Linked DNA regions of Saccharomyces cerevisiae S288C. Each later gene encodes a partner of the first gene's protein in a complex. Each region holds a gene or a part of one and is shown on either strand. Other genes may lie near its edges. A codon is read from its position in the direction of its gene.

Evidence for each region.
Region 2: the proteins of IST3 (region 1) and PML1 are in contact, whole or in part, in an NMR structure (PDB 2MY3), measured with the Saccharomyces cerevisiae proteins. Residues at the interface, in NP_012270.1 of Saccharomyces cerevisiae: Asn39 (codon at 2,303), Glu41 (codon at 2,309), Leu42 (codon at 2,312), Thr43 (codon at 2,315), Glu44 (codon at 2,318), Gly45 (codon at 2,321), Asp46 (codon at 2,324), Leu48 (codon at 2,330), Val50 (codon at 2,336), Val60 (codon at 2,366), Arg64 (codon at 2,378), Asp65 (codon at 2,381), Glu66 (codon at 2,384), Asn67 (codon at 2,387), Lys96 (codon at 2,474), Ile97 (codon at 2,477), Gly98 (codon at 2,480), Gly99 (codon at 2,483), Lys117 (codon at 2,537), Tyr118 (codon at 2,540), Ala121 (codon at 2,549), Val122 (codon at 2,552), Glu125 (codon at 2,561); in NP_013116.1 of Saccharomyces cerevisiae: Ser23 (codon at 1,614), Tyr25 (codon at 1,608), Ile26 (codon at 1,605), Asp27 (codon at 1,602), Ile28 (codon at 1,599), Met29 (codon at 1,596), Pro30 (codon at 1,593), Asp31 (codon at 1,590), Phe32 (codon at 1,587), Ser33 (codon at 1,584), Pro34 (codon at 1,581), Ser35 (codon at 1,578), Gly36 (codon at 1,575), Leu37 (codon at 1,572), Leu38 (codon at 1,569), Glu41 (codon at 1,560).

Annotation. Positions count from the first base shown.
Region 1 is NC_001141.2:362,701-365,835, forward strand, and holds IST3 (U2 snRNP complex subunit IST3), read left to right. Parts: upstream 1-2,188; coding exon 2,189-2,635; downstream 2,636-3,135. Other genes in the region: AIM21 (Aim21p), read left to right, coding at 1-224; DJP1 (Djp1p), read left to right, coding at 521-1,819; actin cytoskeleton-regulatory complex protein PAN1, read right to left, coding at 2,766-3,135. UniProt on the Saccharomyces cerevisiae protein: Required for pre-mRNA splicing and spliceosome assembly. As part of the pre-mRNA retention and splicing (RES) complex, required for nuclear pre-mRNA retention and efficient splicing. Required for MER1-activated splicing.
Region 2 is NC_001144.5:175,737-179,269, forward strand, and holds PML1 (Pml1p), read right to left. Parts: upstream 1,681-3,533; coding exon 1,066-1,680; downstream 1-1,065. Other genes in the region: BRE2 (Bre2p), read left to right, coding at 1-1,008; MEU1 (S-methyl-5-thioadenosine phosphorylase), read left to right, coding at 1,872-2,885; POM34 (Pom34p), read right to left, coding at 2,971-3,533. UniProt on the Saccharomyces cerevisiae protein: Required for efficient splicing and pre-mRNA nuclear retention.

The DNA of each region.
Region 1 (3,135 bases):
AGTTGCCACAGACGAACGCCGTAGGTAATAGAAAAGCCATAAGTGAGGAATCTCTGTCCCCATCGGAGGCCATCGCCAACAGAGATCAAAACGATACGACAGAAATACAGGAACAGCAGATGGAGGACCAAATGGAGGTTGATATGGAAAGAGAACTCTCAGGTGGCTACGAAGACGTTGATTCTGCCTTACATTCAGAAGAAGCGTCTTTTCACTCCCTTTAGAATCTTATAAATAATATGTATGAATAAACTCTATAGTATGTATCAAGAGAGAAATATGTGAATGACGAGCAAACTAGAGGTGTTATTAATAATAATGGCATAAAAACTAGATTTTATTCTATATATATATATATATATTTCTTCGACTTTTTTTTTTTTTACCCGCACACCCTGAATTTTGTGCTATTTTGAAGCAGAGCGTACTGAACAAATTGGCAGATTTACAAGAGGAATAACAGAGTTATGCTAAATCATTAAGTGTTTCTTGCGGCCAGAAGGGGCATTATACAAAAGATATGGTTGTTGATACTGAGTATTACGATTTGTTAGGTGTGTCTACCACTGCATCTTCCATTGAAATAAAAAAGGCCTATAGAAAGAAATCTATTCAAGAGCATCCTGATAAGAATCCCAATGACCCCACGGCTACCGAAAGGTTTCAAGCAATATCCGAAGCTTATCAAGTTTTAGGTGACGATGATCTTCGCGCAAAGTATGATAAGTATGGAAGAAAAGAAGCTATTCCTCAGGGCGGCTTTGAAGATGCAGCTGAACAGTTCTCTGTCATCTTTGGTGGAGATGCGTTTGCCTCATATATTGGCGAACTGATGCTATTAAAGAACCTACAGAAAACTGAGGAGCTAAATGCTGAAGACGAAGCTGAAAAGGAGAAGGAGAATGTGGAAACAATGGAAGAATCACCTGCAGACGGTAAGACGAATGGCACCACTAACGCTGTTGATGCAGCATTGGGCAATACTAACGAAAAAGATGACAAAAATAAGGCGAGGACAACTTCTGGTAATTTAACTGTACACGATGGAAACAAGAAAAATGAGCAGGTAGGAGCAGAAGCTAAGAAGAAGAAGACAAAATTAGAGCAGTTTGAGGAAGAACAAGAGGTAGAAAAGCAAAAAAGAGTAGACCAATTAAGCAAAACATTGATTGAAAGATTATCGATATTAACAGAAAGTGTCTATGATGATGCATGTAAAGATTCCTTTAAAAAAAAGTTCGAAGAGGAAGCCAATCTTTTAAAGATGGAATCATTTGGTCTGGACATATTACACACAATAGGCGACGTTTACTACGAAAAAGCTGAAATTTTTCTTGCATCCCAGAACCTGTTCGGAATGGGTGGTATATTTCATTCTATGAAGGCTAAAGGGGGAGTATTTATGGATACACTAAGAACTGTTTCGGCAGCCATAGACGCTCAGAATACTATGAAGGAGCTTGAAAAAATGAAAGAAGCTAGCACGAATAATGAGCCTTTGTTTGACAAAGACGGAAATGAGCAAATTAAGCCAACCACTGAGGAACTGGCGCAGCAAGAGCAGCTATTGATGGGCAAAGTATTGTCGGCTGCTTGGCATGGTTCTAAATATGAAATAACATCCACTTTACGTGGCGTTTGTAAAAAAGTACTAGAAGATGACTCGGTAAGTAAGAAAACGCTTATCAGAAGAGCTGAAGCAATGAAACTATTGGGTGAAGTCTTTAAGAAAACTTTCAGAACCAAAGTCGAACAAGAAGAGGCACAGATCTTTGAAGAACTTGTAGCAGAAGCTACAAAAAAGAAGAGACATACATGAAGTTAGCAATCATCTCTTGTATATTAAAAATTCAAAAATTCACTTTTTTTTATTATCTGTATTCAATATAATATAATGTATATAAGATCACACTAATACTGATAATTCTATTCTTGAAAGAAAGACAATAGAACAATAAAGAAGTGATTGAACTCAGTGACAATGATAATTTATGTGATAAGGAAGTGGTTATGGCTGGAGAATTATGCCACACTTAAATGATAAGCTCTTTTACCTTTCTGGGTTTAGGAATTTTTTGAGATTAATACAGATAAAAAAAAATAGGCCGAACATTAATTACTCATACAACTCAAAAAGTGCAGCGTGCAATTCTAGATCAAGAACATAGATAATATAAACAAAATAACAATGAACAAAATTCAGCAAATCAACGATAAAGAACTACAAAGTGGAATTCTTAGCCCGCATCAATCATGGCATAATGAATATAAGGATAATGCTTATATATATATCGGAAATCTCAACCGAGAATTAACAGAAGGTGACATATTGACAGTCTTTTCTGAATATGGAGTCCCTGTAGATGTAATTCTTAGCAGGGATGAAAACACAGGAGAATCGCAAGGTTTTGCATATTTGAAATATGAGGATCAACGGTCAACGATTCTAGCAGTCGATAATTTAAATGGATTTAAAATTGGCGGTAGAGCCCTCAAAATTGATCATACTTTTTATAGGCCAAAAAGGAGTTTACAAAAATACTATGAAGCTGTAAAGGAAGAATTGGATCGAGATATAGTTTCGAAGAACAATGCTGAGAAACTCATTTTGGCTAAAAAGGACCAACCAAATTAAATAATTTTTTCTTTCATCGCATATCTTATATTCATATAGCCTAGAAAAAAATAATCAATATCATATTTGTAATTCTACATCCTTTCAGAAATTAGTATACATACGTATCTATAGAAAGCAAATTAAATCTTCATGGAAGGGGTGGGGGTGGAGGAATACCTGCAGGTGGAATTGATGGGATACCTGCAGTAGAAACTGGTTGTGCCCCTTCTTCCTCTTCATCTGTACCAACTGATTCAGGAATCGATAAAACGTCATCATCAGAATCGGATCCATATGCGCCCGTGCCTTTTTCAGCACCATTGTAGTTATCAACGTGAGCGATAATAGGTTCTGAAGTGGAAGCTTGTTGAGTTGGTAAAGGTGGGGGTGGAGGCAAAACGCCTCCAGCTAAAGCTGGGGTGGAAGAACCCGATTTTTGCACGGCAGTAGCTATTGCAGGTGCTGAGGGAATTGGAGGTTCTTGAAAGCCATCAACAGCAGGCAAAGGGGGAGCCAAC
Region 2 (3,533 bases), on another chromosome or scaffold:
AAAATGCACAAACAAGTGAATGACACCCCGCATCTACGATTTGGAGTTTGCAGAAGAGAGGCCAGTTTAGAGGCTCCCGTAGGGTTTGATGTGTACGGGTATGGTATTAGAGACATTTCGTTAGAATCTATCCACGAAGGAAAATTGAATTGCGTCCTAGAAAATGGTTCGCCATTGAAAGAGGGTGATAAAATCGGATTTCTACTGAGTCTTCCTAGCATTCATACACAAATCAAACAAGCTAAGGAGTTTACCAAAAGAAGAATTTTTGCACTGAACTCCCATATGGATACGATGAATGAACCATGGAGAGAAGATGCTGAGAATGGGCCTTCAAGGAAAAAATTAAAACAAGAGACAACGAACAAAGAATTTCAAAGGGCGCTATTAGAAGATATTGAATATAACGACGTCGTCCGCGATCAAATCGCCATCAGGTATAAGAACCAGTTGTTCTTTGAGGCAACGGACTATGTAAAGACAACGAAACCGGAATATTATTCTTCTGATAAGAGGGAAAGGCAAGACTATTACCAGTTAGAGGATTCATATCTTGCTATCTTTCAAAATGGTAAGTACCTAGGCAAAGCATTTGAAAATTTAAAGCCGTTGTTACCACCGTTCAGTGAGTTACAATACAATGAAAAGTTCTATCTTGGATATTGGCAACATGGTGAAGCTCGTGATGAGTCCAATGATAAAAACACAACCAGTGCCAAAAAGAAAAAGCAGCAACAAAAGAAAAAGAAGGGATTGATACTCAGAAACAAATACGTAAATAATAACAAACTGGGTTACTATCCAACAATCAGCTGTTTTAACGGTGGAACAGCGAGGATAATTAGTGAAGAAGATAAATTGGAGTACCTCGATCAAATCCGATCAGCTTACTGTGTTGACGGGAATTCAAAAGTTAACACACTGGATACATTGTACAAAGAACAGATAGCTGAAGACATAGTATGGGATATAATCGATGAGTTGGAGCAAATTGCCCTACAGCAATAAAGCAGCATTCAAAGAAGAATAATTAAAACACACTGAAAGTGTGTTTCTTATATATGGTTATACATTCATGAAGATGAGTTCGTAATCGTTATCTTCTTCAAATTCTGAAAGTGTAAGGACGTCACCACTTCGTAGCTCTATATATCTCGCTCCAGGAATTACAACGTTGTTCAAACATGTCCCATTGGACGAATCCAAATCCATTACATAACATTTCAAAATGCCACGAACGTTCCTGAACTGGATGACGCAGTGCTGCTTTGAGGATGTTTCTTCGGGTATACCAATGTCTGCGACAACGATCTCCGTTCTATCGTCGAGATCTGTATCCAGACTGTGGCCCAGTTCACGACCGACTAAATAACAGCTCCTGCCGTTCAAATCGTATCTTTTCCACGGTCCTTTATCCTTGTCATTCTTTCTGTATATCACTAGTTCATACATAGTCCTATCTCGCGCCTCCAGTCCTAGCATATCCATGTAGTTATCTGGAGAAATAGCGTCCTGCGGCTCCACATGTTTTAAAGCTATACCTTCTTTGTTATTCGACTCCAGCTCTAACAGACCGGAAGGGCTGAAGTCTGGCATAATATCGATGTACTGCGATTTGAATTTCTTGTCATCATGGCCATAATTTCTGGTGTTATAAGGTCTTTTGCGTCTGTGAAACATGTCTATACGCAAATGGAGTCGGAAATGAAGTACACCATGCTTGCTGTGGCTTTTACGTTATACCAAGGCTTCTATTGTAGGACGCCTTTATTGTCAATTATGTGAAAAGAAAGCAAAAAAAAGAAAAAGAAAAATGAAAAAAGATGAACGTGTGAATGAAAAAAAACTATTTCGAGATGAGATGAGATTAAATGAACAGGATTAAGAATACATTTTCTGTTGCTAAGAGATTAAAACTAAGCAAAGTTATGACGAACTCAGAATTACCGAGCATATTCGAAGGAACTGTTGATTTAGGGATTATTGGTGGTACAGGTTTATATAACCTTGACTGTCTGGAGCCCATCGCTTTGCTTCCACCCATGGTAACACCATGGGGTACCACATCGTCTCCTGTCACAATCTCTCAGTTCGTAGGAACTAACAGCCACTTTCACGTTGCGTTCATAGCCAGACACGGTATTAACCACGAATACCCACCCACTAAAGTCCCATTTAGAGCAAACATGGCGGCCTTAAAGAACTTAAATTGTAAAGCCGTTCTTTCTTTTAGTGCCGTGGGGTCTTTACAACCCCATATAAAGCCTAGAGATTTTGTGTTACCACAGCAAATAATCGACAGAACTAAAGGCATAAGACATTCTTCATATTTCAACGATGAAGGCTTGGTAGGTCACGTTGGTTTCGGACAGCCGTTCTCTCAAAAATTCGCAGAGTATATCTATCAATTCAAGAACGAGATAACAAATCCTGAATCCGAAGAACCGTGCCATTTGCATTACGACAAGGATATGACCGTTGTGTGTATGGAAGGCCCACAATTCTCCACGCGCGCTGAATCCAAGATGTACAGAATGTTTGGTGGCCATGTTATTAACATGAGTGTTATTCCAGAAGCCAAATTGGCGCGTGAGTGTGAGCTGCCTTACCAGATGATTTGTATGTCTACCGATTACGACGCATGGAGAGATGAGGCAGAACCTGTTACCGTAGAAACCGTTATTGGTAATTTGACGAATAATGGGCGCAATGCAAATATTTTAGCTTCTAAGATCATCGTCTCAATGGCCAAGGAAATCCCAGAGTTCATGCATACTGGCGATGGGCTGCGCGGTTCCATCAAGAAATCTATCTCTACCAAACCAGAGGCTATGTCCAAGGAAACCTTAGAAAGACTAAGATACTTATTTCCAAACTATTGGTAATGGTTGCCGCTAATCATATGTAAAATATAAATAGGAGAGAAAACATATATAGCTATGGAAAGTATTAAATGTTTTTTTGCTGTTTTTATATTTTCCCCCTTGGGGACTGTGAGTTCATCATATATGCATATTTGCTACTTGGAATGTAGCCCTTCCTAGTTACAGGGGTATGCGGCGAGTTATTGTCATTGTTAGCGCTCACTAATGTGCTACTGATACCGCTATGCCTCTGCAGTGTGCCAAATACATTCTTTGTGTGTAAGGATTGAGATTGTAGTTTCGTCTGTTCCTCCGCCATTTCCCTTTGTCTTGCTTTCAAAGGCGTCTCTAAGCCTTTGAAGAGATATGCTGGATGATTTTTGAGATTTGTTTGAGGAATATGTGTTTTGTTCTGTGCCATTTGGCTGATCTTAGAAGTGGATACGTAGTGGGGGTGTTGTGGCTGCAACCCAGTATCGACAGATGATTGCATGTCTACCCCCAGGAGCTTCTTTTGCCTGTCAGTGAGATTCAAATCACTTACTTTGACGGTGGATAAGAGCTTCCAAAGAGAAAACAGTATATTGAGCGAGATTAATAGGTGGAACAAGTAGTCAAGAAGTTCTGCATTCAACCAACTGAACGTGGTGTGATATATGATGTTAGCCT